Linked DNA regions of Xenopus tropicalis. The protein of the gene in region 5 purifies or fractionates together with the protein of the main gene of each other region. This does not show direct contact. Links are inferred from orthologs where the notes say so. Each region holds a gene or a part of one and is shown on either strand. Other genes may lie near its edges. The genes, in order: mta2, znf512b, smarcb1, bcl11a, chd3, bcl11b and sin3a.

Region 1 (4,468 bases), on a different chromosome or scaffold from region 5:
ACTGTAGCCTCACAGAGCAATAGTTTTTTGGCTGCTGGGGTCAGTGACCCTCATTTGAAAGTTAGAAAGAGTCAGAAGAAAAAGGCAAAGAAATAAAAAATGAAGACCAATTGAAAAGTTGCTAAAAATTGGCCATACTATAACATACTAAAAGTCAACTTGAAGGTGAATCACCTATTTAAAGGAACAGTAACCCTAAAAAATTAAAGAGCTTTAAGGTAATAAAAATATAATGCACTGTTGCCCTGCACTGGTAAAACTGGTGTGTTTGCTACAGTAACACTACTATAATTTATATAATAAGCTGCTGTGTAGCCACGGGGGCAGCCATTCAAGCTGGAAAAAAGGAGAAAAGGCACAGGTTACATAGCAGATAACAGCAGATAACAAATAAAACACTATTGTATTCTACAGAGCTTATCTGTTATCTGCAATGTAACCTGTGCCTTTTCTCCTTTGAATGGCTGCCCCCATGGCTACACAGCTGCTTATTTATATAAATTATAGTAGACTTTCTGAAGTAAACACACAACTTTTACCAGTGCAGGGCAGCAGCACATTATATTTTAGTTACTTTTATACACTTTCATTTTTTGGTGTTACTGTTCCTTTAAGCTAGCCCACATCTATTAATCAATCGGCAAGTAGTGTTTACTGGCCAGCTCTTTAAAAACAAACATCTAATTAGTTGCTATGAGGCCCGCACTGGCGATCTGTGGAGTCTGGCAAATGCCAGAGGGGCTGCTGTAAGATGCCATAGACCGTTACTATTTTTTGGGTGGGCTACTAAAAAAAAAAAATGTAACTATAGGGACTTAACATATGTTAACATAGGTACTTTGAGCAGGCAAATTTCTTTACTGTCCTGAAACATATAAAACATATTTCAGTAGGCATCACATATAAGCTTAACATACTGCTTCCTATGAATCCAATACACCTTTGTTATTATTATACTGCAGTTTAATTCCACGTTACAAAAACATGTAGGCTTATTAAAGGAGACGGTGGTGTAGAATGAAAAGGCTGGACTTTTGTTTTTAGTTCAGCTTTTCAGGGCTGTGGAGTCGGTAGATAAATTCTCCGACTCCTCAGTTTCTGATACTTCCGACTCCGACTCCTCTGTTTTTAACATGTTAATGTATTTTATACATTCATACAGTCAATGAAAAACATGCTTCATGGTCACTCAACGTGTTTGTTTATGCACTGCGTGCATTGGGCTTTATTCTTATAGCAGAGAAGTAATTAATTATGACTGTTTGTGAATTGGGACATTTAAACTTGCTTTATTTTTTTTTTATTCCCATTTAAATTTAGTAGGAGTCGGTTCATTTTTTGCCGACTGACTCCAGGTACCCAAAATTGCCTCCGACTCCTCGACTCCACAGCCCTGCAGCTTTTCACTTTACTGCGCTTGCACTCCCAGCTTAAAAAGCAAAGAGGAAGAGAATTGCCCTGTGGTGCCACTACAAAAATACCCCAGTCCAGTGCAGTTTTCAGCAAATGGGAGAAATGGCCCTGGGTACCAGGCAACTAACTGTAATCACTGTGGGAAGGGGGGGTGCTTGAACTTCCCTTCTTTTTAACCGACACCTGATGAAATTCATCCACTTGTGTGAATGCAATCTATCACATTAGACTGTAAGCTTTACTGGCACCACAACTGATACAAAGGATAAATGATCAGACTACATTAATAAGAAGGCTCTTTCACAGATTATGGAATGTTAATAAAGGTTAGTTAAGAAAATAAATTGTAAATACCCACAAATTTCTTATGCAAACAAAAAAATGTAAAAAATCCTATATAAATATGTATAAACAAGTGTAAAGAAAATTAACACTTGGGGATAAAAAAGTTGTGTAAATACCAGCTTTGATTGTGTTCAAGATAGACAGGTTATAGTTATATGCTGCAGGATAATGAGAGTTCAACATGTCCTTGGGCAGCCATGGCCCAGAAACAGTGGATTACAGTCAGGTCAAGATTGACAATCAAAAGTGGCCCTGGCTTTTCAAGTAGACAGAGGCCCAAAAAGCCCAATAAATATTGACTGCCTATAGAATCTACCTGCAGCCCCTCTGGCATTTGCCAGATTCCATAGATTGGCAGTACAGTCCTGGTTACAGGGTCATCTACCTGATAAGCAATTTGGCACAGAAGCCCTCTGAGCAAGATCAGCAGGGGTTATTCTCATGGAAGCTCCCTGTCTTACACACACAAGCAGTGACAGACAGACAGACCTCACAGAAGCCAGTGCACAAAGTCAGGGCAGTTTCCATTGATCAATATTATGAACAGTGACAAACAGGCAGGGTACATAAGGGGTGGTCCTAACAGCCCCGGCCACTAAACTAGGCTGAGTGTGATTGAGTCAGGTAAAGAGTAACCGGGCTAGTTTAATACTGCAGAAACAGCACAGCAGCATTTTAGTATTTAGGTTACATACTGACATTTGTGTGTGTGTGTGTGTGTATGTATATAAATATATATATTTATGATCTATGTGTGCATATATATATATATATATATTATGTGTGTATTATATATTTTCTGCATTAGACTAAAGACACACAATGCACAGAAATAAGATAAAGATAATCATTCTACATTTCTGCATGTAAATAAAAAGCGTTTACTTTAATTCAGCATTCGGTGCTCGCTACTCTGTACAGATGATGTATGGGTATAGACTCTCCCTCTACAGCGGATAAAGTGTGTGTTTAACTACATAGTATAAAGCTCTACAGATATGCTTTCGGCTCAGAATGATTTTACTGTGAGTTCTCACCTCCCACCCGGTACATATTAGCCGCCATCTTGCTCTCTCCCGCGCACAATAACTCGGGAATCTGCGCGCGTTTCCGGGGCCTGTGGGGGGAGAGGAAGGGGAAGAAAGAGGGGCAACTTCCGGCATAAAGAAGCGAGCAGCCTTCCGGGGGAGGGACAAAGCGTTCGATTGAAAGAATTATATCCGGACATAAACGAGTGCTTCCGGAATCAACTGATGACTTCCGAAGAGGGAGACGGGAAAACCCGAACTTCTCCGAAGTAAACGACGCACAAAGGCTGCAGTCAGTAGAACGCGCTCGGAAGGAGGAAGTAGTTGTGGACGCATTAAAGTGATGTGCGGCAGAGTTGGTCTGCTAGTATCCCTTACTTTTAATAACTGGTAAAATGCTGGTTTAGTGAGTAACGACATACACGTCCCTATGGTTTAAGTTTACTCTATCTGAGCTTTATGGAATATAATATACAAATCGTTCTGTAATATGCGGTGTATTATATATATATATATATATATATATATATATATATATATGTGTGTGTGTAATATATATTACACAAAATGTGTGAATAATTCAATAAAGGTGCTGCTCAGTAATGTCATCATTTATAATTGGTGCTTATTGATTGAAAGGCTCTTGCTATTACAGGATGTAACAAATCACATGATGCCTGATTTTAAAGGAGAACTAAACCCCCTAGGTAGAAAAGCCCCACTCAACTGACCTCCATCTGCCTCCTCACCTTTCCTACCCTGCATAGTCTATTTAATAACAAAGTGTCCCTATCTGAACAACTGAAATAAAAATGCAGCACAGCGCAGATTGCAGGCTCCATCTTCACTCCCTTCGATCTTCTTTGTGTCTCTCCGCCAACACTGACCCTGCAGGAGTATGTAGAGTTGTGATTCCGCACTAGATTCAACTGTGCATGCTCCTGCTTGCTCCATGTTTCATAAATGAAATACTGCATTCTGTGATTTTGTCCTTGTAAGGGGTGAGTATAATTGTTTGAAATCAGCCGTGTATAAGTTGGCAAAGGAAGGGGCTACATTAGAGCCCATACTTGTATCACTAACTTATTGGTAGTATAAAAGTTCAAATTTAAAATAATAATTGGAGAGACAGCATTCCAGTAATTCCATAAGAAATTCATTACATGGCCATGTACTGTCTAGATGGGCAATCGGATGTTGGCGGATTGTTTGGATACCCAAGTATGTAGGGATCACTATATAAAGAACGTCTATAGCAAGTTTACTGTTGAGAGATAAAGGCAATGCTGTTTTAACTTTGGTTAAAAAGTCCCCAGTGTCCTTATTCTAGATATCCCTTGTAGTTTTGGTTAAAGAAAGTCCATATAGATAGCTATTGGTTGTAAAATAGACTTTATAGCACTTACTATGGGACGGCCTGGAGGTTTCCTGCCATTTTAAGCTGGCCATACACGCACCAATAATATCGTACGAAACCTCGTTTCGTCCGATATTCGGTGCGTGTATGGCAAGTCGACGAGTAGACCGATATCGCAGGAGGCTGCTGATATCGGTCGACTCGCCGATCGGGCCAGTTAAAAGATTTTGATCCGGCGCCATAGAAGGCCCCTGACCAAAATCTGCCTTCATCGCTGAATCGGCAGAAGGAGGTAGACATCCTATTGTTTCTACCTCCTTATCTG
Region 2 (3,846 bases), on a different chromosome or scaffold from region 5:
AATGTACTGTACCCGACCCTGTACCCCCCGTGTCCTGTACCCGACCCTGTACCCCCCGTTCCTGTATTGTACCCGACCCTGTACCCCCCGTGTCCTGTACTGTACCCGACCCTGTACCCCCCGTATCCTGTATTGTACCCGACCCTGTACCCCCCGTGTCCTGTATTGTACCCGACCCTGTACCCCCCGTGTCCTGTATTGTACCCCCCTGTACCCCCCGTGTCCTGTACTGTACCCGACCCTGTACCCCCCGTGTCCTGTATTACCCGACCCTGTACCCCCCGTGTCCTGTATTGTACCCGACCCTGTACCCCCGTGTCCTGTACTGTACCCGACCCTGTACCCCCCGTGTCCTGTACTGTACCCGACCCTGTACCCCCCGTGTCCTGTATTGTACCCGACCCTGTACCCCCGTGTCTGTACTGTACCCGACCCTGTACCCCCGTGTCCTGTACGAAACCCGACCCTGTACCCCCCGTGTCCTGTACTGTACCCGACCCTGTACCCCCGTGGTCCTGTACTGTACCCGACCCTGTACCCCCCGTGTCCTGTACTGTACCCACCCTGTACCCCCCGTGTCCTGTACTGTACCCGACCCTGTACCCCCCGTGTCCTGTACTGTACCCGACCCTGTACCCCCCGTGTCCTGTACTGTACCCGACCCTGTACCCCCGTGTCCTGTACTGTACCCGACCCTGTACCCCCGGTCCTGTACCTGACCCTGTACCCCCCGTGTCAGTACTGTACCCGACCCTGTATCCCCCGTGTCCTGTACTGTACCCGACCCTGTACCCCCCGTGTCCTGTACTGTACCCGACCCTGTACCCCCCGTGTCCTGTACTGTACCCGACCCTGTATCCTCCGTGTCCTGTACTGTACCCGACCCTGTACCCCCCGTCGGTACCCGACCCTGTACCCCCCGTGTCCTGTACCCGACCCTGTACCCCCCGTGTCCTGTACTGTACCCGACCCTGTACCCCCCCGTTGTCTGTACTGTACCCGACCCTGTACCCCCCGTGTCCTGTACTGTACCCGACCCTGTACCCCCCGTGTCCTGTACTGTACCCGACCCTGTACCCCCCGTGTCCTGTACTGTACCCGACCCTGTACCCCCCGTGTCCTGTACTGTACCCGACCCTGTACCCCCCGTGTCCTGTACTGTACCGACCCTGTACCCCCCGTGTCCTGTACTGTACCCGACCCTGTACCCCCCGTGTCCTGTACTGTACCCGACCCTGTACCCCCCGTGTCCTGTACTGTACCCGACCCTGTACCCCCCGTGTCCTGTACTGTACCCGACCCTGTACCCCCGTGTCCTGTACTGTACCCGACCCTGTACCCCCCGTTCCTGTACTGTACCCGACCCTGTATCCCCCGTGTCCTGTACTGTACCCGACCCTTATCCCCCGTGTCCTGTACTGTACCCGACCCTGTACCCCCGTTCCTGTACTGTACCCGACCCTGTACCCCCCGTGTCCTGTACTGTACCCGACCCTGTACCCCCCCGTGTCCTGTACTGTACCCGACCCTGTACCCCCCGTGTCCTGTACTGTACCTGACGCCTGACCCCCGTGTCCTGTACTGTACCCGACCCTGTACCCCCCGTTTCCTGTACTGTACCCGACCCTGTACCCCCCCGTGTCCTGTACTGTACCCGACCCTGTACCCGGGCCCCGTGTCCTGTACTGTACCCGACCTGTGACCCCCCCGTGTCCTGTACTGTACCCGACCCTGTACCCCCCGTGTCCTGTACTGTACCCGACCCTGTACCCCCCCGTGTCCTGTACTGTACCCGACCCTGTACCCCCCCTGATGGTCGCTCTGTCTCTTGCCCCAGGCCTCGGTGCCCCCCCCGTGCCCGTTCCCCTGCCCTGAGTGCGATGCCGCCTTTGCCTCTAAGTTGCAGCTGCAGAAGCATCTGGGTCAGAACCATTCGGACAAGGACCGAGCCGAGGGGAAGGCGCCGACCCCAAGCGCAATCTCCCGACTGGAAAAGAGGTGCAGCTGCGCCCCAACATTGATTGGGGGGGGGGCTATAGTAACGGGAGTATTAATGACAATACTGGGGGGGGGGGCTATAGTAACGGGAGTATTAATGGCAATACTGGGGGGGGCTATAGTAAACGGGATATTAATGGCAATACTGGGGGGGGGCTATAGTAACGGGAGTATTAATGGCAATACTGGGGGGGCTATAGTAACGGGAGTATTAATGGCAATACTGGGGGGGGGCTATAGTAACGGGAGTATTAATGGCAATACTGGAGGGACTATAGTAACGGGGAGTATTAATGGCAATACTGGGGGGACTATAGTAACGGGAGAATATTAATGGCAATACTGGGGGGGCTATAGTAACGGGAGTATTAATGGCAATACTGGGGGGGCTATAGTAACGGGAGTATAATGGCAATACTGGGGGGCTATAGTAACGGGAGTATTAATGGCAATACTGGGGGGCTATAGTAACGGGAGTATTAATGGCAATACTGGGGGTCTTATAGTAACGGGAGTATTAATGGCAATACTGGGGGGAGGCTATAGTAACGGAGTATTAATGGCAATACTGGGGGCTATAGTAACGGGAGTATTAATGGCAATACTGGGGGGGCTATAGTAACGGGAGTATTAATGGCAATACTGGGGAGGGCTATAGTAACGGGAGTATTAATGGCAATACTGGGGAAGCTATAGTAACGGGAGTATTAATGCAATTACTGGGGGGGGCACTATAGTAACGGGAGTATTAATGGCAATACTGGGGGGGGGCTATAGTAACGCGAGTATTAATGGCAATACTGGGGGGGGGGGCTATAGTAACGGGAGTATTAATGGCAATACTGGGGGGGCTATAGTAACGGGAGTATTAATGGCAATACCTGGGGGGGCTATAGTAACGGGAGTTATTAATGGCAATACTGGGGGGGGGCTATATAACGGGAGTATTAATGGCAATACTGGGGGGGGGCGCTATAGTAACGGGAGTATTAATGGCAATACTGGGGGAGGGGCTATAGTAACGGGAGTATTAATGGCAATACTGGGGGGGGGCTATAGTAACGGAGTATTAATGGCAATACTGGGGGCTATAGTAACGGGAGTATTAATGGCAATACTGGGGGAGCTTGTAGCACATATTCCAGGGGTTGATAGCAGGGAGTTAGAGGGTTAGAGGGGGTAGGTTGTTCTTACCCCCTGTCTCTCAGTCCCACAGTATCTGGGGGCAAATCCCGGCCACAGAGGTTTCCCAAGAAGCCCAAAGTTGCCCCTTCCACAAAGAACGGAGAGATTGGGCCCCCGGGCCGCAAACAGAGAGACCCCTGCCTGTCCGACGAGGACCCCGAGAGAATGAGGCACAGTAAGGAGGGTCCTGTGAGTCTGTGGGAGGGTCCTGTGCATCAGTGGGAGGGTCCTGTGCATCAGTGGGAGGGTCCTGTGCGTTTGTGAGAGGGTCCTGTGCATCGGTGGGAGGGTCCTTTGCATCGGTGGGAGGGTCCTGTGCGTCCGTGGGAGGGTCCTGTGCATCGGTGGGAGGGTCCTGTGCATCGGTGGGAGGGTCCTGTGCATCGGTGGGAGGGTCCTGTGTATCGGTGGGAGGGTCCTGTGCATCTGTGGGAGGGTCCTGTGCATCGGTGGGAGGGTCCTGTGCATCGGTGGGAGGGTCCTCTGCGTCTGTGGGAGGGTCCTCTGCGTCTGTGGGAGGGTCCTCTGCGTCTGTGGGAGGGTCCTCTGCGTCTGTGGGAGGGTCCTGTGCGTCGGTAGGAGGGTCCTGTGAGTCTGTGGGAGGGTCCTCTGCGTCTGTGGGAGGGTCCTGTGCGTCGGTAGGAGGGTCCTCTGCGTCTGTGG
Region 3 (4,637 bases), on a different chromosome or scaffold from region 5:
AGAAAACACAAATGTCCTATCCTACTTTCAAGACTGTATAATCAATTTGCAAGTAGAACAAAGAGTTTTAAAGCCAAGGAATTTGGGTCAGGAGAAATAAAACCTATATTAGTTTGTGCATGTGTGCATGAAAAATTATGGCATTCACTTATTGCTGTGCTAGTGGCCGGCCTTTTCTCAGCCAGCAGAGAAGTGCCAAAATCCTTGAAAGGATCCTGGGCTATTTCATCCAAATTAATGTTTCCATTAATATTAATTACATGCTTCTCATCTGGTTTAGGTGTTTCACAGCCAGCTGAAAATACTATGTAAAATGAAATATCCAGGATTGGATCATTATCTTATCTTATAACCTGAGGTCAGTTGGCATCTCTGCAGAACAATGTTCCCTATAAGCAGTGCGCTCACACACAACAATTTTGTATTTATTTTTACCTGAGCAGTTTTTAAAAACGTGCACACAAGTTTAAAATGTATGCACACAAGTTTTTTGCACACAAAGCCAAAAAGTAATGAGGGAACGTTGCAGCAGGTCTATTTCATAGCCCTTAATTGCTTGTTAGGGCAGGGTTGGACTGGGGCGGCCGGGGGCCCAATGGGACTGCCACCTGGGGACCCTCCATCCCAGTTGCGACATCAAACCCCGTCCCCCTACTGCATTTTCTCCTTACAACTGTGATAAAAGGACTGTGGGCCAGCACCTAGTTATAGGAGGGAGCAAAACTGGGTCAGGACAGCCTACAAGGGCCAGGGCCCTGCCGATCCAGTCCATACTCGGTTTGAGGGCTGCCAATGGCCTATTGTTGAGTGGTGTAACTACTACCCCATGGGCATGGTTGCAAACTTTGCACCAAGGTCCCTCTCAAGACATGAGCTGCCGTGCATACTAAACATATCATTAAAGGAACAGTAACATCAAAATATGAAAGTGTATTAAAGTAATTACAATATAATGCACTGTTACCCTGCACTGGTATAACTGGTGTGTTTGCCTCAGAAAGACTATTATAGTTTATATAAGCAAAGCTGCTGTGTAGCCATTCGAATGAAAAAAGGCACAGGTTACTTAGCAGATAACAGATCAAATGCCATTGTATTCTACACAGTTTGTTATCTGCTATGTAACCTGTGCCTTTTCTCCTTTTTTCCAGCTTGAATGGCTGCCCCCGGGGCTACACAGCAGCTTATTTATATAAACTATAGGAGCGTTCTGTAGCAAATACACCAGTTTTACCAGTGCAGGGCAACAGTACATTACATTTTAATTACTTTAAAACACTTTCATATTTTGGTGTTACTGTTCCTTTAAACGTTAATGTCCACTGTGGGTTTCGGGTTCCAAAATATTAAAAGGCCGGTATTTTTTTTTCTAGAAAAAGTGGCAACCCTTGGCTGATCTTTAGTATTTCCGCACTAATAAAAATACTAAGTAAAACTATTTTACGAAGCCGCTACTTTAGTCAGCGTACAACCAAACTACGCCCGCAGGCAGCTATAAGTTGTGCGCTGAAACGCCGCGCATGCGCTTTATGCAGTTCCCTTGACGCCTGCGCTTCGTGTACTACGTAGTTGGCACATGCGCTGTTCGGTGGGCCCGGTGTTGGAACGGAGGCAGGATGATCATGGCGTTAAGTAAAACGTTTGGCCAAAAGCCAGTGAAATTTCAATTGGAAGAGGATGGAGAATACTACATGATAGGATCCGAGGTACGAGTCCAGGGCAAACGTTAAACATCTCCGCTGAAGCTGCGTAATACAAACGTGGGGGAGAAAGGGGTTTGGGACAAAGGATTCCTTCTTTGTTACAGGCACTGTTGTGGGCGAGACCAAGGTTTCTGTAAATCTTCATGCGTGTAAAAGAAAAAAACCAAAACAATAACAAAAGGGGGGCGGGTTATTAGTTAGATAAAAAAGAGTGGTATATCCAACCGGCGGGCCCTTGTTTCACTACAGCTCTCATCACTCCCAGAATGAAGGAAGTGCTAGTAGTTTTAAAGCAGCTAGACCTACAAGTTGAACGCACTGGTGAAGGGAGAGGTGGCCAATGGGGGATGAATTTGAAAGTGCAGCTGACTGGTTAGAAGTGCAGCAACAGAAAGCATGAGGTAAACAAAACATCTGTAATAGAAATAGGCTGCAACTCCTACCTTTCCCCTAAATCCTCCTTTCTGGAGGCCTGCTGTGTTGTGTAGCGCCTCATTGTATGCTGTCACTTCAAGGTGTACACATTATATTTGGGTCTGTGACCAAATTTTGCAGCCTGAAAACGTATTATTGTTTTGACTCTTAAATACTTTGTCTTTTATTTACAGGTGGGAAATTACTTGCGCATGTTCAGGGGATCATTATATAAACGGTACCCTTCCCTTTGGAGACGGTTGGCAACAGTAGAAGAGAGGAAGAAAATAGTAGCGTCTTCTCATGGAAAGAAATGTAAATATTAGTAGTTTTTTTTACCTGGTTTGTCTGGTGAAAGAACAGCTTGGATTAAGTTGAATGCACCAGTTGTCTATGGCAGCCCTGGGATTTCCGAATTTTTACCTGTACTATCTGGATTTGCAAGTCTACTATCTCCAATGGTGCTTTGTTCTAGAACCTTATAACCCAAATACTTGCTTCCGTGGGATATTTCTGGCCTCTGTGGAACACATTACATTACATTAACATTTATTTATAAAGTGCCAACATATTCCTCAGCGCTGTACAATAAGTGGGTTACATACATTGGACATAAAGAGTAACATATAAAGCAATCAGTAACCGATACAAGAGGTGAAGAGGGCCCTGCCCAAAAGAGCTTACAATCTACAAGCACCTGCATAGCTTTCACTACCGACTCCAAGGATGCCCCGCAACTGCAAATACCCTCTCTACCTTAAATTACTGGGCCATCCCCCACCACTATTATTCCCCGGCTACCATTGTGGGGAAACATATATTTGATATCTCCAGGATTTTTTCCTGGAATCATCACAGGCTCAAATACCTAGGTGGCCACATTATAAATACCATCTATTCAACATATATTTTACAACAAAAATATCAACTACCTCATTTGCCCTTCTACAGATTCTTTTAGTTGCGACGTGCTTTCAATTTACAACTTTTAACCTATACCTCAGACCTTGTACATCTAGTATTGAGAACATAACTCGGATAGGTCCAGGCTGGTTTCATCTGGTGGGATGTGCCAGCTGGACACATCCTGTTCTGTTGCACAATGGTCTGTTGAAACCCACCCCAACCTGTCATGCATGCTCAGACAGTTGGGCTGAAGGGTCCAGATCTGCCAACCAAAGCTGGCCATGCTAGGACAGCTTTACAGAATTCAAAATTCACAAAAATGTAAACCATTTCAGATTGTCTAAGAATACCTAATCTAAGCTATTTTCAACCAGCTTTTGGCAATTAACATTGTTTCTACTATAATTTTAAGATGACCTCCCTTAGTTTGCCACATTCATAATTTCTTGTTTTAATGTAACCGAACTACTTTAAGTATAAAGTTTTTAAACCTTTTACATATTGCTGTTTTCTTCCTCCTTAGATCATGGATATACCACTTTAGCTACCAGTGTTACTCTCTTAAAAGCTTCAGAAGTTGAAGAGATCCTTGATGGGAATGATGAGAAATATAAAGCAGTCTCTATTAGCACAGAACCACCAACCTACCTCAGGTGAGTGAGGCACACATTTGAGGTTTTTAGTCATATGAAACATTTGGGAACCCCTCTCAGCCTGCATAATAGTTTACTCCACTTTTAACAAAAAAGATAACAGTGGTATGTCTTTCATTTCCTAGGAACATCTGAGTACTGGGGTGTAATCTGAACAAAGATTTTTAGTGAAGCAGTATTTAGTTGTATGAAATTAAATCATGCACTGGCTGTGCAAAAATTTGGGTACCCTTGTAATTTTGCTAATTTGAATGCATGTAACTGCTCAATACTTATTACTGGCAACACCAAATCGGTTAGCTCGTTAAGCCTTGAACTTCATAGGCAGGTGTGTCCAATCATGAGAAAAGGTATTTAAGGTGGCCAATTGCAAGTTGTGCTTCTGTTAGAGTCTCCTCTGAAGAGTGACAGTGTGGTTTAGGGAAAGGCTACAGAAAGCCATCTCAGAGGTTTAAACTGTCAGTTTCAACTGAAAGGAATGTAATCAGGAAATGGAAGGCCACAGGCACAGTTGCTGTAAAACCCAGATCTGGCAGGCCAAGAAGAATACAGGAGTGGCATATGCAGAGGCTTGGGAGAATGGTAACAGACAACCCAAAGATCACCTCCAAAGACCTGCAAGAACATCTTGCTGTAGATGGTGAATCTGTACATCGTTATACAATTCATACATCTGTATGGCAGGGTGATGAGAAAGAAGCCCTTTCTGCACTCATGCCAAAAACAGTCACTTGTTGTATGCAAAAGCTCATTTAGACAAGTCACAGTCATTTTGGAACAAAATGCTTTGGACTGATGAGACAAAAATTATTTGGTCATAACAAAAAGAACACTGTCAAATTTGGTGGAGGTTCCATCATGCTGTGGGGCTGTGTGGCTAGTTCAGCGACTGGGGCCCTTGTTACAGTCAAGGGTCAGATGAATTCATCCCAATAACAACAAATTCTTCAGGATAATGTTC
Region 4 (4,401 bases), on a different chromosome or scaffold from region 5:
GTTAGGCAGTAATACAATTTTCTGTACAATGTGATGACCTTAAATGATTTATACAATTTTTAAGGCCTGCAAGTTTAAAGCAGAACGTCACAGTGATAATGTTATCTGGAGTCTGGACTGGTCCGGGCTTTAATAGAAATAATAAAGATCTCGCCCTAGCTAGTAGTGTTTCTGAAGTGAACTTTGCAAATAATAAAAGCACAATGAGAGCTTGAACAGAGGACTCTATCCCTCCCTCTTCCTCTCTCTGTCCAAACACGTGGATAAAAGGCAAACATGTCAGACAGTCAACAAGGAACCTCTCTGTTTTAGGAAAAACCTGTTTCCCTCCCCTCCCCCTCTTACACAAGCCTCCTTGCTTCCTTCATCTGGGCTAATGGAGAACAGAACGATGTAAACTTTAAAAAAAAAAATGGACGGGCAAAAAAAAAAAGTCCCAACTAAACCTCTGACTTAAAGGGGTGCACCCCCAAAACTGCTTTTTGTAAATTAAAGAAAATCCCATGTACATTCATTCAAAAAGTTCAGTGGTTTTATTTGTAAATGTAATTGCTACCAAAAATGGTATTTGCTGATCCCTTTCTGTTCTCTGACTCTTGAAACAATGTAGCAGAAGCCAATTCTCCTCAAGGTCTGTTAATCAGTTGACTTCTGCTACATTGTGCCCGCAGTCAAAACCAGAAGTGCAGACAACGTAAACAGCCAGAAACATAGCAAAGACAGCAATTTCATTTACGAAATAACTTTTACATTTTAATGAATGTATATATAGGAAAGATGTTTAGAAATGCGATTAATTTCAGTTTTTGGGTGGGGGTAAAAAAGCAATTACTACACAACTAAATTGAGAGCTGGTAATCTGATAAAATAATGCATGTTGGCATACCACGTTCATTTCTGACCCATTTATGAATGTTACTTATTTACAAAGAGGTGGGTGATTTTTAGCAAGTGGGGAAAACGGGTCTTATTCTGCAAGGCAACGTTTTTCTTTCATTGTAACATTTATGAGGAAAGCGAGTTAGTGTATAAATACAGTTTTCAAAATAATTCATCATCAATAAAATATAAACTCGAAAACTGTTTATACCTTAAAACTGGGTTGCTCTGCGCAAATAAATACATGAATAATTAGAGTGAGATGAGGAAAAAAGACAAAGAAATGAAGAGGAGAAAATATATTCTACCCATTCACCCCCACCAGGAAGAAAAGGAATATGAAAATGAAGGAATATACATTGAACGAGTTAAAGGTTTAAGCTGATAGGTTTCCTAATCTTCCTCTGCTCCCTAGCGGTCAGATCTGGTATCTCTAAGCAAGTCTTAAGTGAAACCTCATGTTGGTGATCAATCCCCTGGAGCTCCCTTGGCAAGGGGTGGGGGTGGGTTCAGACAGAAAAAAAGGCATTATTGCTGACAACAAGAATGGAAAAAAGTTAACTGTGAATAAGAAAATAATACACCAATATAAACTATAAAAAGCAAATATCAACATGTAACAAAGACGTGGAACAATAACTAAAAATATGAAATTCTATTCCCAAAGGACTGGGTCATGCTATGGGGTCATGTCTGATATCCGGTATTGTAAATGTGATAAGATGCAAACACCCACATTTATATAAAAGATCAACAGACAAAAGGAAAGAGAACCTGAACCAAAGAGCAACAAAATGATAATATAAAGAAATACTACAGGTAAAATGACTTTCACCTATGGTCTGGCCGGTACCTGAAGGGGTCGAAGAGATTTATGGAATGAAAGAAATGTGTCATGGGGAATCCATGCTGAACAAAAACAAAAAACAGATGCAAATAAGCACATTTTTTTCAAGAATCCATAAATGTCACAACAAGGGGTTTCAGACACCAGGAAACAATATGGATATATAGATGACATAAATCAGTCTGGAACCTTTTCACATCAGATCGAGGGAATTCTGCACTGCACATTCACACGTTATTTTTTTCACAAAGCGGCGAAAAGTGCTCGGCACCCAAAACAACAACACCAACAACTTGCTTCGAGAACCCTCTCCAACCTTTTCTGAGTCACAAAGTGACAGACAATTTGATTTCTTTCACGGCCGAGCTGCCTCTTCAGAGGGTTTTTGTGTGCGAGTGTGTGCGTGTGTGTGCATTCTGTTGCTTTTTTTCTGGAGATTATTTTGCTTTTCCTGTCCTCAGTTGTTGGCAGGAGGCTCTGCACACGCGGTGCTTGTAAACATTCAGACACGAGATTTTTCCCAATCAAAATCCACTTCCACTTTTTTTGAAAATCTTCCAAAAAATAGTAAGAGAGTGAGAGCGAGAGAGGGAGCGAAAGGGAGAGAGAGGGAAAAGGAAGGGATTTCCTCTGCCGGCGGTGGAACGAGGAAAAAAATAAAAAGTTTTGAAAGAAGAATGAAGATTTCTTTGGGAAGAAAAGCAGCAGCAGCGGCCACAGAGGAGATTCCCTCTTGCAGCAGTCTCTTTCCCTGGGCTCCAGCGAGCAGTTGATAGAGCAGCCTATACAGCATGCCCCATGCCTGCAGCAAGCCAAAAAGCACCCAGCGCTGCCCAAACCTTACACCTTCAGGTCACCACTTTTAAGTTCAAGTAAAAGAAGAATTGCTCATAAAAAGCCCACACTTGCCTACTGATTCCCATGTCATCCCTTCTGCATGGTCTCTGTGCTGTGGCCACTATCACCCCCACTCTCTGCAACATTTGGCTTTTTACCCCCTCTGCCACAATCTCTTATCCTTTCTATGAAAAGTATTTGGCTTTCTACTTCTGAAGACATGAAAGGCTCCATAGAAAGTCTTGAAGATTTTTTCCCCCTTCTTGTCAGTGGTTTTGTCATGCTCTCACCTTTTGCATTGGAGCAGTGGGCAGCTGTGCGGGCAGGTAAGTGTGGGATCGGTACTTACGTGAGTATTCCCGTTTGCTTAAGTGCTGCGGCTTGCCTTGCTTGCGGCGAGACATGTCGGTCGGTGGGTGGCTCGTAAGAGCTCGGTTCACATCGGGAGAGCAGGGTTAGAAAGAAGGAGACTCCAGAGAAAATATCTTCATCAAATGCCTTTGACATCCAAAATAAATTAGAAATAATACAAAGATGGTGCGGGGAAGATGAATTGTGGGACAAGCCGTCATGACATTTTTTTTTTTTTTTTTGGAGGGGGGTGAAAAAAAAGGAGAGAGAGAGAGATAGAGAAGGAGAGAAATGAAAAAAAATGGCAAAAGCCCCCCTGAGCTGCAAGTTCAAGTGCGGACGTGACGTCCCTGCAAACTTGAACGTCAGGAGCTGGATGGACAGAGACATAGAAAACATGGGCAGGGCCAGTGGGAGAGAAGGGGAGGAGGGAAGCCAACACCAATGGACATTCATAAGGGGCTGGACAGGAAAATGAGACCCGGGCAAAGCCAATGGCCAGTGATGAGAGAGAGAGGGGGGTGGGAATGAGGGCACACACGGTACAAGCGGGAGGGGGGAGGAGAAGCTACACACAGGCTGCTGGTACTACTGCCGCTGCCGCTGCCGCTGCTTATTGAGAGGGAGAAAGGAAATAAGGCGAGAGGAGAACTGGAATGTGATCCTGCTGTGGAGATAACACAGGGGAAAGGGATCACAGTCTCTGGCACACTCACTGGGGCTAAGGGGGGCGAGCCCAGGGAGCGGGGGGGGGGTGGGAGAGACAGCAAGGGGTCAGGGAGAATCACCTCACGGGGTATAAGATGGTGCTGAGACCTACACTCGGGCTGGGGCGGCAGGAGAATGACGGGTCCGGTATGAGGAACCATGAGAGGGAAATGGAAGTTAGAGGCGAGCCCAGGGAGGGGTTTATGAAGTTGTTGCGGGAAGAAGTGAGTGGGGCGCTGATGGTACAAGACAGGTATTAATATTTAGCACAAGCACTTGTGTAGAAGGCGTCTCCATGAATGTGCGATAGGGCTGGGGGTGGGCGAGGATACACTGTGGCGCTGGGTGCAACATGGGAACATGCTCACACCTCACACAGGGAGTACAGCACTGGCACACAGAGAGGAAACATGCTCCCACCTCACACAGGGAGTACAGCACTGGCACACAGAGAGGCAACATGGGAACATACTCCCACCTCACACAGGGAGTACAGCACTGGCACACAGAGAGGCAACATGCTCCCACCTCACACAGGGAGTACAGCACTGGCACACAGAGAGGCAACATGCTCCCACCTCACATAGGGAGTACAGCACTGGCACACAGAGAGGCAACATGCTCCCACCTCACACAGGGAGTACAGCACTGGCACACAGAGAGGCAACATGCTCCCACCTCACACAGGGAGTACAGCACTGGCACACAGAGAGGCAACATGCTCCCACCTCACACAGGGAGTACAGCACTGGCATACAGAGAGACAACATGCTCCCACC
Region 5 (4,632 bases):
GTTTACATGGTATCCCTATGGGCCAGTCCGACACTGGGCCAAACTGTTAGAATCACTGACACTTGGGCCCACCGGGAGTTTTCCTGGTATCCCTGTGGGCCGGTCCGACACTGGGCCAAACTGTTAGAATCACTGACACCTGGGCCCACCGGGAGTTTACATGGTATCCCTATGGGCCAGTCCGACACTGGGCCAAACTGTTAGAATCACTGACACCTGGGCCCACCGGGAGTTTACATGGTATCCCTATGGGCCAGTCCGACACTGGGCCAAACTGTTAGAATCACTGACACCTGGGCCCATCGGGAGTTTACATGGTATCCCTATGGGCCAGTCCGACACTGGGCCAAACTGTTAGAATCACTGACACTTGGGCCCACCGGGAGTTTTCCTGGTATCCCTATGGGCCAGTCCGACACTGGGCCAAACTGTTAGAATCACTGACACTTGGGCCCACCGGGAGTTTACATGGTATCCCTATGGGCCAGTCCGACACTGGGCCAAACTGTTAGAATCACTGACACCTGGGCCCACCGGGAGTTTACATGGTATCCCTATGGGCCAGTCCGACACTGGGCCAAACTGTTAGAATCACTGACACCTGGGCCCACCGGGAGTTTACATGGTATCCCTATGGGCCAGTCCGACACTGGGCCAAACTGTTAGAATCACTGACACCTGGGCCCATCGGGAGTTTACATGGTATCCCTATGGGCCAGTCCGACACTGGGCCAAACTGTTAGAATCACTGACACCTGGGCCCACCGGGAGTTTACATGGTATCCCTATGGGCCAGTCCGACACTGGGCCAAACTGTTAGAATCACTGACACCTGGGCCCACCGGGAGTTTACATGGTATCCCTATGGGCCAGTTCGACACTGGGCCAAACTGTTAGAATCACTGACACCTGGGCCCACCGGGAGTTTACATGGTATCCCTATGGGCCAGTCCGACACTGGGCCAAACTGTTAGAATCACTGACACCTGGGCCCATCGGGAGTTTACATGGTATCCCTATGGGCCAGTCCGACACTGGGCCAAACTGTTAGAATCACTGACACCTGGGCCCACCGGGAGTTTACATGGTATCCCTATGGGCCAGTCCGACACTGGGCCAAACTGTTAGAATCACTGACACCTGGGCCCACTGGTACTTTTCCTGGTATCCCTGTGGGCCAGTCTGACACTGCACAGCTCTATAAATTATAAAAAATACAAATATTCTGTATTTGGACTCAACCGTACTTTAATAAACATGCCCCTAATTCTTCTGTGCCTCCAAAGTTCTGAAGGCAAACACCATGCATTCATTTTAACTCCCCAATTGTTTTTATCTTCACATTTGGGGCTATAAGAGGAGAATACACAATCAATGTGCCCGGCTATACACTCAGCTGGCCCCACCCACCCCATTCTCTGTGCACAGGCATATTTCATACATACACCGTCCCCTTTTGCACATAAAATATATATATATATTTTGACGACTCCCTTTGCCGGCTGCCCCCAGCCATTTTGTGCAGCTCTTTGCACCAGAGAGAGGCTGCTGTGTATAATAGAAATGCTCTTAATAAAAGGGGGAGTAGCTGCTGTGTGTGATTCAGGTGGGGGGAGGGATGAGGAAGGTTTATAAATATCTCACACAAGCCTCATTTTATTATTTTTTTTTAAACTTTACATATAATAATTGAAGGGGCGGCCATCTTGGTTCCCTGTCAACTTTTCCATTTGATCTGAATAAAAATAAATCCCCCTTCTCCCTCCAGATTTTTTTTTTTTTTTTATATTTTTCCACCCCCCCCTCCTCCCTTTTATTTATATTTTGTATATTTCTATCAATCTCTTTTGATTGTAGGGGGAACCTACTGGAACATTATCACCTATTTTGAACAAAGAAATGAGAATGATTTTGCTCCCCTCCCCCCACACCCAGTGATGCTGCTGTTTTCCCTGAGGTGATTTATTTTTTTACGTGTTTTTTCTCATTTGTTTTATGATTTTTTGACATTTTGGGGGGGGAATATTTTTTATTTTTTTTGGGGGGAAAACTAAAAGCCTTGGGGGCACGGCCGGGAGCTCCGGAGCAGGCAGCCGGGCTGAGCTGAGGGGAAACGGGAGGCTGCAGCCCAATGTCATCGCCGCTCAGGGACGACGAGGAGGAAGAAGAGGAGGAAGAAATGGCCGAAGAAGGGGACGGCGAGAAGGAGGAGGATGAAGATGAAGAAGAGGAGGAGGAGGAAAGCCGAGAGCAGGCGACACCAAGCCGCCATTGCAGCCCCAGCCTCTATTTCCCGCCAACAGCCTCCAGGGAGCCGGGGAGTGTTGAAACCGATTCCACGCCGCCGGTGCCAGCTGCCGCAGGTAAACACTAGGGGGGAATGGAGAATGCCGGGCGGCTTCAAGGCCCCCCCCAGTACTCCCTGGCATTAACCGATGGACTGTCTCACTGCATAAGGGGAGAGGGGGGGGGCAAGGGGACGCTAGGCTGGTGTCCCCCTATTGTTTGACAGGATGACGGCAGCCCCCCTGGTGTCCACTTCAACCCCCCCCCCCTCTCTCCTTTCGCAGTGGTGCGGTCTGTCCCTTCACCTTTCAGAGAGGGGTTAGTGCCGGGGAGGGGAAGTTGGCGCCATTTCTATTAGGCGCTCATTACAAGTTGGCAGTGAGGGGCTCCGGGTGCCTTGGTCACTACAGGGGGGAATATTAATGCGCAGCTCATGTATTAGGGGCTATTCATTCCTATAAGTGCCATTTTAGGGATTGACTTTATAGTATTTGGCGTTTAATATTTCCACATTGGTGTTTATTGGAAAATATAACCGCTTTCCTATCTATGTTTTATTGATTTCCTGTAGATAACACCAAGTATTATTATTATTAACTGAAACTACAACTCCCAGCATCCTTTTGCAGCTTAAGTGGGCTGCTGGTTTACAATTGCCTGTCCATTGACTTTAATGGTAACTGCCTGGTTACTGTGATTCCCTTTCTACAGCCGGTAAGTTCCTGAGCGGCGGAAAGATCCAGGTACAGGTATGGGATCCGTTATCCAGAAAGTTCAGAATTACAGGAAGGCCGTCACCCATACACTCCATTATAAGCAAATAATTCTAATTTTTGTAATAATAAAACAGTACCTGTACTTGATCCCAACTAAGATATAATTACCCCTTATTGGGGGCAGAACAGCCCTATTGGGTTTATTTCATGGTTAAATGATTCCCTTTTCTCTGTAATAATAAAACAGTACCTGTACTTGATCCCAACTAAGATATAATTACCCCTTATTGGGGCAGAACAGCCCTATTGGGTTTATTTCATGGTTAAATGATTCCCTTTTCTCTGTAATAATAAAACAGTAAATGTACTTGATCCCAACTAAAATATAATTACCCCTTATTGGGGCAGAACAGTCCTATTGGGTTTATTTAATGGTTAAATGATTCCCTTTTCTCTGTAATAATAAAACAGTACCTGTACTTGATCCCAACTAAGATATAATTACCCCTTATTGGGGCAGAACAGCCCTATTGGGTTTATTTCATGGTTAAATGATTCCCTTTTCTCTGTAATAATAAAACAGTACCTGTACTTGATCCCAACTAAGATATAATTACCCCTTATTGGGGGCAGAACAGCCCTATTGGGTTTATTTAATGGTTAAATGATTCCCTTTTCTCTGTAATAATAAAACAGTACCTGTACTTGATCCCAACTAAGATATAATTACCCCTTATAGGGGGCAAAACAAGCCTATTGGGTTTATTCAATATTTCAATGATTTTTAGTAGACTTAAGTTATGGAGAGCCAAATTATGGAAAGATCCCTTATCCAGAAAACCCCAGGTCCTGAGCATTCTGGATAACAGGTCCCATATCTGTACTTAGCATTTTGCATTTCATATTTCCACATTGGTGTTTCTCTGTTTGAGGTCTCGATTTAACCCCGCTTCCCTATCTATGTTTTCTTTATTTCCTGTTGATAACACCAAGTATCATTTTTAACTGAAACTACAACTCCCAGCATCATTTAGGCTTTTGCAGCTTGGTGGGCTGCTCGTTTAGAATCCATTGACTTTAATGGTAACTGCCTGGACACTGGGCTTCCATTTTTCCAACCGGTAAGTTCCTGGGCCAGTAGTGCACCAGGTAATAATGAAATAATCTTCCAATGTGCTGTTGCCATAACCTATAACTGATTATTAACTAATCTGGGGGTTTTAGTCTGGTTAAAGATGGGGAACCTGGTCGGTACATGGCTACTTACAGTGATCATTGAGACTTTTAGTAAGCTGTAGAGCAGGGGTGGCCAAAACATCAATCGCAGTCCACCGGTCGATCCCCCGTGGACTGAGTCTTAGCTGGGAAGTGCAGAGCTTTTATTGGGTATGCGTATGTACGCAAGGAGGAGCCAAAGTTGATCACCGCGCGAAAAAGTCTGGGCACCCTTGATGTAGAGAGTGCTATTCTGAGACAATTTGCAATTGGTCTTCATTTTTTTTTTTTTATTTGTGGCGTTTGAGTCATTTAGCTTTTTGTTCAGCAGCTCTCGAGTTTGGAATTTCAGCAGCAACCTGGTTACCAGGGTCCAATTTAACATAGCAACCAGGCGGTGGTTCGAAAGAGACAG
Region 6 (3,846 bases), on a different chromosome or scaffold from region 5:
ATATGTTGTTTTACTTTTGTAAGCAAAATATTTTCTCTAAATTAGCCTTTGGACCCAGAATAACAGTACAAAATCAATATACAATGTAAAAAAAATATCCATATTGGGCTGGGTTACGGAAGGCCCCAAGGCGTTTCAGATTCTTAAATTCCATTCCTGTCACATATTAAATGTATTTTAAAGGGGTAGTGAAACATAGATTGTTTTAAGTTTGGTCCCCACTTAAGATTTAATTCTATTCAGTCCATATAATATTTGTTAACTTGCTTTCAGAGCAACAACAACTACACCAAGGACAGCGTGGATGTTCTGGTACTGTGCGTTACAAAATGTGTCAGATAATGCCAATGAAATAAAGCTAAAAAAGAGAGTTGATGAAGCTTTTAGAATTGAGATCATGGACTCTTTAGCAAATGAGCAGAAAATGTGTCATGTTTGAATGACACGTGTCCTATTGTATAAAATTTAGCAGTGGGTGAGAGTACTTCAAGTTGCAAATAGCAGGAATATAGGATATGGCATCACTTTTATTGCACAACAATGGCTTAACCAAACAACATTCTGTCCCCCACAAAAAAAAATGTAAATATAAATTTGTGTGTTTGTCTATTTAGGAATTTCAAATAGAAAATGGAATTCCTGTGATCGTGTCTTGGCACGTTCTCTTGTGTGCAGGTTCTTATTTTCAAGACATCTTTGCAAATGAACTGTATAATTTTTCAGTCAGTTTAAATAGACTGGATCTACCATGATTACCTGAATAAAACAATTTCTAATTTTTTCTTGCAGCATATATATATCTATCTATTTATATATACACATTTAATAATTGGATGTTATAATTGGAGATTATAGGAGGGAATATTTTCACAGAGACATTTGTTTGTCACTGGATACCACTAAGCTTCCTGTGGTCAATTTGCTAGCTATGGCCAGCATTGCTCATAGCCTTTGGAGTCTTATTGATAGAATGTGTTTTTATGTCTGTGCCATCTTTAATACTCAAAAGACAGCCAGAAGCCCAGCCATTTTAGTTGACTAGTATGTTACTTGACTATTGACTATTATTATTGAATTGCTTGTTAAAGAAGGATTAGAAACATATATAACAGAAGAATCAAGATGGAAAACCTATTAGTTATAAATTACTATATACACAAATAACTTTATTGCAAACAGAGAAAAATGAGGGCATATTTCCAAAATATACAACAGGGGAATACAGAGGGATTTTCAGCAGTACTGACAGTCAGGAAAGGTTTAAACTAAATGACACATTTATTAAAACACCCCAACAATTTCATTAAAAACTTTTTCATGCTGGAACAACTGTCTGTCCTGGCATACATAAATATGAACATTTTCCATCAACAACTACATGTCCACTAAGAGTGCTGTTATTTTTTTTTTCAATAACTACTGATATATTCTCTTGTTTGCTCCACAAGCTGTCAATATTTGATTAGCCTTTAAATATCAAAAGACTGTTCCTTTGTTCCATTCTCAGGATTCCCAGCGAGTTGTTAACAAATTTGTAAAATTTACCAAATGTGATAAATCAGCCCCAAAATATCTCATGCACCATTTGCTTTGTTAGAACAAATAAAGTTGCATATATAGAAAGCCATTTTAAGCTCAAATAAATAATAATAATAATAATAATAATAATAATAATAATAATAATAATAATAAAACTATGGTTTCCAAATATTCAGCTACTTTATAACCTTATATGGAAGTATAAAGAGTGAAGTTTTTTTATGGAACTTCTTGAACCCGAATTGTTTTTCAGTACAGGGTTTCTTTTTCTGTAGGTTTTTATTTTTGCTTTTTTCATTAAAGGGGCAGTATACCTCCTTTTTAATAGGTCTTGTGCTTAACATACTTTTTGACTTATGTTTTAATCACACAAAATCTGTGAATTTAACTCATGTTGAGAAGAGGGTGTATGGTTTCTTAAACAGTGCATCAGTAATAAAATGAATAAAACAGGCTTTTTTTATTGTAAAATACTAAGAGTGGAATAAGATGTATACATTAGTTATAGTTATTTGTGTTTCATAGTGGGAAAATTAAATATTTGTATAAGAAATGTAAAGCAACTGAGCACATTTAGTTTTCAGCAGCTTAATGTAAAACTTTTAATACAAAATCAGTTTAGTATATTTTATATTTTGTGTTTTTTTTGTCTTTGGCAGGTAAAGATGAGCCTTCAAGCTATATTTGCACAACATGCAAGCAGCCTTTTAACAGCGCATGGTTCCTGCTTCAGCATGCTCAAAATACACATGGATTTCGTATCTACCTGGAAACAAGCCCATCTAGTAACTCTCTTACTCCACGTATCACTATCCCTCCACCTCTGGGACCGGAGACTGTTGCACCATCCCCTCTGATGAATTTCCTTGGGGACACTAATCCCTTCAACCTTTTAAGAATGACAGGACCTATTCTACGTGATCACCCAGGCTTTGGTGAGGCTCGGCTCCCAAACACACCCCCACTTTTCAGCCCACCCCCACGCCACCATCTGGACCCGCATCGCCTTAGTGCCGAAGAAATGGGGTTAGTTGCCCAGCATCCTAGTGCCTTTGACAGAGTTATGCGCTTAAACCCCATGACAATTGAATCTCCAGCAATGGATTTTTCCCGAAGGCTAAGAGAACTAGCAGGGAACAACTCCACTCCACCACCAGTGTCACCGAACCGCGGCAATCCTATGCATCGCCTGTTAAACCCTTTTCAGCCAAGCCCTAAGTCACCTTTTATTAGTACACCACCATTGCCACCCATGCCCCCCAGCAGTACTACTCCACCACAGACCCAGGCAAAGAGCAAATCCTGTGAATTCTGTGGGAAAACCTTCAAGTTCCAGAGTAATTTAATAGTCCACCGTCGCAGTCACACGGGAGAAAAACCTTATAAGTGTCAGCTGTGTGATCATGCATGTTCCCAAGCAAGCAAGTTAAAACGTCACATGAAAACACATATGCACAAAGCTGGTTCAATGACTGGAAGGTCTGATGATGGACTGTCTGCTACTAGCTCACCAGAGCCAGGCACAAGTGATTTAACAGGAGAGGGTGTAAAATCCAGTGAGACAGATTTTAGAAATGAAAGTGATCCATCTTTAGGCCATGAAAATGAAGAAGAAGAGGAAGAAGAAGAAGAGGAGGAGGAGGAGGAAATAGAGAATGAAAGTAGGCCAGAGTCAAGCTTCAGTATGGACTCTGAAATGAGCCGCAATCGTGAAAATGGAGCAAAGCCAATCCATGATGAGAAGTCCCTTGTTCTTGGAAAAGTTATGGAGAATGTACATTTAGGAGGCATGCAGGCATATAGTGATATGCTGCATGAAAAACAAAAAAGAAGTCATTTCATGAAACGATCTGATCAGCAAATTTTATGTAGGAGAATTCCAGGGCATGAAGATACAGTGGAGAGAGAAATAATCCCCAATGATGAAGGGACAGTTAATGGAAATTTTGGCCCAGGTGAACCATTTCCAGGCTTGCTCCCACGAAAGCCAATGCCTATTTCTAGTTCTGGACTAAACAACTCATCAAAAAGGATAAAAATTGAGAAAGATCTAGATTTACCCCCAACACCAATAATCCCATCAGAAAACGTTTACTCACAGTGGCTAGTAGGATATGCAGCATCAAGGCACTTCATGAAGGATCCATTTCTAGGATTCACAGACTCTCGACAATCTCCTTTTGCAACTTCTTCTGAGCACTCTTCAGAAAATGGAAGTCTGCGGTTCTCTACACCACCAGGTGACATGCTGGATGGAGGTCTCTCAGGGCGAAGTGGGACAGCGAGTGGCGGCAGCACACCACATAT
Region 7 (4,301 bases), about 54 Mb from region 5:
TCTTCTAAATACCCACGTAGAGTAATGTGCAGACAAAGTATGCTCTATGGGTGATGTTACATGACATGAACTTAAGCATGTCACATACCATACTGCAGTGTTTCTCCCTGTGAATAACAGTCCAAGAGAAGCATTTAATAAATGCTAGGAATAGTGAGGGTTGCTGTACCTAGGAAGTCCTAAACTAAATAATGCAAATCACATTTGGAATTGTATTCCTATTTAATATAGGATAGAGACCAGTAACTGGAGATATTGGCCTCTTTAGAGAAAAATGTGTAAAACTGGTTACACATGCACAGATTTGGTTGTGCAATTGCCTGATTTCGACCACACTACCAAATAAATTTATATGGCTAGTTGCCATTCAGGCACATAATCCTGATGAGTTGAGGATTACCAATCCATCAGAAACATTTTTACTAGTCAAGTAAAAAGAGAATCTGCAGATTTTCTTTACTTCTTTCTGCTGTCATCATTTGGCCCAAACTTGCAGATATATACAGAGGTGGCCATGGATGTATGGCCACCTTAACAACCTAACCAACTTAGTATAAAGGAATGCCTAAACCCTCCTGGGAAAGGGAGTTACGCAAAAATGCAATATTGACAGTGCCGTTTTTGTACACGACAAAGTGAAATTAACATCTGTTTTATGAATTCCCTACCAATTTCTTGCACATGGCCTCTTGATTTCCTGGGTTATGTGACACTTTTTAAAAACTGATTAAGAACTGGGTATAAAACAGTTCTGATGTATGTTTTCTATGCACTCCATAATTTGTTTGTATGAGCTGATCTAATCTCACAGCATGTTGATGGATGTCATGTATAATTAGATTATAGATGTGCATGAAGCAAGTTTATGTAGGGATTAATGCAGTCTCTTTTGTAAAACAGGAGTTCCATACCCTTTTAAAAGGCGCAATATAACAGGTTAAAGTTGTGTTTCTATAGTCATAAAACGTAAATGTTATTTCAAATGTACTTTTTTTTAAAGAAAAATTGTATTTCTTAAAAATGTGTATGACCAATTATAACTAATGCCACTATTTATAAGAATATACACTGATTTTCTATATCTGTAACCTTGTTGTGACCTGATGGGGACCTGTCTAAATTGTTCTATTATTGTGTTGTCCTACTGTACAGCACAGCATGCACAAGCAGTGCAGTGTAAATATACATACAAGTTCACATTATTAGGGTTTACATCTTCCACCAGACATTTCAAATTTTTTTTTTCTTTAACACTATAGTATGACATTTTTAATCATAATTGCGACATCCCAAGGGCATTAGGTCCATAGAAAGGCACAGCAGCATTTATAATGTTTCAGTATGCCATTCATGAGTTGGAGTTGTTATATTCCTAAAATAAACGTAGTAAAATGTCTATAGCCTATGATAAAGCAATGCTGCCTGGTGCTGACTAATCAAAAGTGTGATGTTTCATAGCCAAGATGCAAACCTTTCTCTCTCGTACTTAGCACACACAAAACTTGATGTCAGATTGCAGAATTGCCTCTAAATCAAGGATAAGCTACCATTAGGGTTCCGACCACAGTGTCTATACTGTTTTCACACATTGTATTAATCAAAAAATGTTTGGAGACAAATAAGACGATAAACGTATATGAAACTTAAGGCTACATTTCTGGGGAGGAGTATAAGAAGAGCAGCCTCATTGTCCTCAGCTCCGCCCCTTGGCTAACGTCGGCCCATAAAGTAAAGCTTATTGGACAGCACTTCCGGGTACAACACAACTAGCCAACCATTGCCTGCTATCAGCTTCCGCTTCCTATGACCAGGAGTGACCAGCAATATGCACGCCCTACCAATAGTGTTAAGCCACGCCTTACACGGAAGAGAACACGGAGTCGATGCCTAGTGCCAGCGAATAAGGGCGGTGCAATCACTCTGCCCAATGAAAATACAGGATGCCTAGGTACTGGAGAGGGCCAATAGCGTTTAGATAGGGCGGGGCCAAAAAGGATAAAGCTGAGGCACGTACCATCTCAGAATTATTAAGCGCGTTAGGAAGGGAGAGAGTAGAGGTTTTAGCGTGAGTGATAGCGGCTAGTTTTCGTTATGCGTGCAGAAGGCAATTAAATTTAATAGTACATTGACCAGAAGACATGGAACAGTGTAGTGTAAGGCAGGCTATTTAGGAGCCGCTTCCACATAGCGCGGCTGTTCAGGGGTGTTTTCTGCTGCCTCCCAGACAATACAGTCACCTAACTGCAATGAAGCACCACCCCCCAAACCCCATGTCTATACTCCTATTAATCTCATGCAAAAACCGAGCTCACATTTTCCCAAAATTTGGTCTCGTGTGATATTCGGGGAGAAATAAACTTAAAGGCACAAATGATTTAAGCGTCAGCGTTGAACCTCCGCCTTCCATCAATCGCTGTAGGTCCCCCAAACCCCAGCACCACGAACTGCGTTAACCCCCCACCCCCCAAAAAAACCTAAGGTCATTTTAAGAACATAAGGGATCCCTAATTCTTCCCTCTCAGACAGGACAAACCAGCCTTTGCCCATGCCAACTGACTGGGCAGTAACAGCCCAGCTGGCTCGGGTGCATAACATTTGTCCCAGTCTCAGCCCTACTCCATCTATCCATCTCCCGGCCTGGCGGTCATCTCTATACAGATGAGAGCATATTGGCAGGCATATTTGGACAGGTAGCCACATGGCCACCATCGATTCCCCTAGGGCAGGGATCTCGCCACCCACAGCTATTAGGCAGCAAACTCTCGCGTGGCTCTGGGGATTCCAGTCCAACAGCAGCTGTTTAGGCGCAGGTTGGAGAACGGTGCCACGGGGGAATGTGTATCCGGACACCCTGTACATACGAGGTGCAGCACGGCTGGACTCGTAACTCGCCGCCTGACCCCATCTGCGAAAAGGCAAGCACTTCGATGTGTCCCACTGGCCTTACTACAACCCCAGCGCCCCAGTCCAAACAAAGAATGGCTCCCTTTAGGATAAACAAGAGGCACATACCTTCCAGAAATAAATATACGGCCACACCAAGTCAGGGACTCTATGCTAGGATAGATACACCCCCCCCGTTTTTTTCCAAGACTCCTAGTTCTAGTCCAGCCCCCTACAGAAAAGAGGGTGGGTGTGTACCATAGAAAACCTTAGAGGGGAGGGGAACTCATTTAAACTCGACCCCGCCTTCTTGCCATATAGAGACAGCGCTCCGTCATGGGGGCTTAGCCACCCGCCCCCTTGAAGGGCACGTCCCATTTGGCTCTGGTGCTGTTTGTTCTCTCCTTCCTTACTAAGGCTTGTAGAGTCTAATGTTAATTTTGTAGTGTTACTCGCGGCCCTCAAGCTGACTTAGAACTCTTATCAGATTCAATGACCGCTGTATTTGTTTCATAAGTAGTAGGGCTCTGTTGGGCGGGAGGTTGTGAGAGACCGCGGCTACAGCGCGCATCCCAAATATGTTTATGTGACAGGTGCGCGTAATGATTTTGGACGACAAGAGCGAAATTATAGGAATATGGAGGGGCTGAATGTGCACAGTAACGACATACCTCAAATCAATATAGAATTTTTTTAAAAAACTACAACGTCCAAAATGCATTGCAGGTACGACACAAAAGATATCGCCCACAATGCACTGCTTTTTAATACTTACATAGATGAAAACTATGGAACCCAGAATGCTGTGCGGTGCTTGAATCGCGGAATAGGAAACGTTTGTCGGATGGTGCAGAGCGAGCGGAAAAGGTCTAGGTTTTTAATAGCCCAGAAAACATATGGAAAGAGGCATAACAATATTGACAGATTATTATTTTGTGTTCTTTCATATTGTCTGCCCTGCACCTTATATGTGGAATAGAATATATAGCGCTGCACTGCTTTGTCTCTGCAACTGACTGTAATATATTGTAAGTTTTCTTAGCCATAGATTGTAAGCTGTACAGAACAGGAATCTCCATACTCTTGTCTCTTTGTTACTTAGCTCTGTGACATATTTACTACAGCTGTACTTTATTAGTATTAATCGTACTTTGTATTTATTGACCTATTATTGTAATGACCCCCTTGTTTGTTTTAATTAAATTATTTTTCTTCTATTCATCGCTGTATACATACATAACACATGTTTGTGTTAATTAAAAAAAAAAAAGAAACCAAGATAAAATCTGTAAGAACTTATTCCACCTTTTTTTACAAAATTGTGATCTGTACAAAGAAGTTGAAAACAAATCAACAGTTTAGTGAAACAAATCATACAAAACCTGGTTGCATTAGTGCGCACCCCCTAAACTAATAAC

What was found.
Region 1: the proteins of chd3 (region 5) and mta2 purify together in Homo sapiens (affinity purification with mass spectrometry; 8 studies listed by BioGRID and IntAct, with this or other methods). This does not show direct contact. The link is inferred for Xenopus tropicalis from reciprocal best matches to the Homo sapiens genes CHD3 and MTA2.
Region 2: the proteins of chd3 (region 5) and znf512b purify together in Homo sapiens (affinity purification with mass spectrometry; 3 studies listed by BioGRID and IntAct, with this or other methods). This does not show direct contact. The link is inferred for Xenopus tropicalis from reciprocal best matches to the Homo sapiens genes CHD3 and ZNF512B.
Region 3: the proteins of chd3 (region 5) and smarcb1 purify together in Homo sapiens (affinity purification with mass spectrometry; 3 studies listed by BioGRID, with this or other methods). This does not show direct contact. The link is inferred for Xenopus tropicalis from reciprocal best matches to the Homo sapiens genes CHD3 and SMARCB1.
Region 4: the proteins of chd3 (region 5) and bcl11a purify together in Homo sapiens (affinity purification with mass spectrometry; 3 studies listed by BioGRID). This does not show direct contact. The link is inferred for Xenopus tropicalis from reciprocal best matches to the Homo sapiens genes CHD3 and BCL11A.
Region 6: the proteins of chd3 (region 5) and bcl11b purify together in Homo sapiens (affinity purification with mass spectrometry; 3 studies listed by BioGRID and IntAct, with this or other methods). This does not show direct contact. The link is inferred for Xenopus tropicalis from reciprocal best matches to the Homo sapiens genes CHD3 and BCL11B.
Region 7: the proteins of chd3 (region 5) and sin3a purify together in Homo sapiens (affinity purification with western blotting; 3 studies listed by BioGRID, with this or other methods). This does not show direct contact. The link is inferred for Xenopus tropicalis from reciprocal best matches to the Homo sapiens genes CHD3 and SIN3A.

The regions. Positions count from the first base shown.
Region 1 is NC_030680.2:36,848,503-36,852,970, forward strand, and holds the start of mta2 (metastasis-associated protein MTA2), read right to left. Parts: upstream 2,943-4,468; 5' UTR 2,824-2,942; coding exon 2,796-2,823; intron 1-2,795. UniProt on the Homo sapiens protein: May function as a transcriptional coregulator. Acts as a component of the histone deacetylase NuRD complex which participates in the remodeling of chromatin.
Region 2 is NC_030686.2:1,315,280-1,319,125, reverse strand, and holds part of znf512b (zinc finger protein 512B), read left to right. Parts: intron 1-1,837; coding exon 1,838-1,998; intron 1,999-3,206; coding exon 3,207-3,358; intron 3,359-3,846. UniProt on the Homo sapiens protein: Involved in transcriptional regulation by repressing gene expression. Associates with the nucleosome remodeling and histone deacetylase (NuRD) complex, which promotes transcriptional repression by histone deacetylation and nucleosome remodeling.
Region 3 is NC_030677.2:153,168,055-153,172,691, reverse strand, and holds the start of smarcb1 (SWI/SNF-related matrix-associated actin-dependent regulator of chromatin subfamily B member 1), read left to right. Parts: upstream 1-1,614; 5' UTR 1,615-1,616; coding exon 1,617-1,706; intron 1,707-2,311; coding exon 2,312-2,432; intron 2,433-3,546; coding exon 3,547-3,676; intron 3,677-4,637.
Region 4 is NC_030681.2:33,979,246-33,983,646, reverse strand, and holds the start of bcl11a (B-cell lymphoma/leukemia 11A), read right to left. Parts: upstream 3,101-4,401; 5' UTR 2,968-3,100; coding exon 2,913-2,967; intron 2,890-2,912; exon of another isoform or gene 2,807-2,889; intron 2,131-2,806; exon of another isoform or gene 2,043-2,130; intron 1,818-2,042; exon of another isoform or gene 1,733-1,817; intron 1-1,732. UniProt on the Homo sapiens protein: Transcription factor. Associated with the BAF SWI/SNF chromatin remodeling complex. Binds to the 5'-TGACCA-3' sequence motif in regulatory regions of target genes, including a distal promoter of the HBG1 hemoglobin subunit gamma-1 gene.
Region 5 is NC_030679.2:146,946,626-146,951,257, reverse strand, and holds the start of chd3 (chromodomain-helicase-DNA-binding protein 3), read left to right. Parts: upstream 1-1,636; 5' UTR 1,637-2,131; coding exon 2,132-2,363; intron 2,364-4,632.
Region 6 is NC_030684.2:90,433,116-90,436,961, reverse strand, and holds part of bcl11b (B-cell lymphoma/leukemia 11B), read left to right. Parts: intron 1-2,198; coding exon 2,199-3,846. UniProt on the Homo sapiens protein: Key regulator of both differentiation and survival of T-lymphocytes during thymocyte development in mammals.
Region 7 is NC_030679.2:93,379,058-93,383,358, reverse strand, and holds the start of sin3a (paired amphipathic helix protein Sin3a), read right to left. Parts: upstream 3,119-4,301; 5' UTR 3,013-3,118; intron 1-3,012. UniProt on the Homo sapiens protein: Acts as a transcriptional repressor. Corepressor for REST. Interacts with MXI1 to repress MYC responsive genes and antagonize MYC oncogenic activities. Also interacts with MXD1-MAX heterodimers to repress transcription by tethering SIN3A to DNA.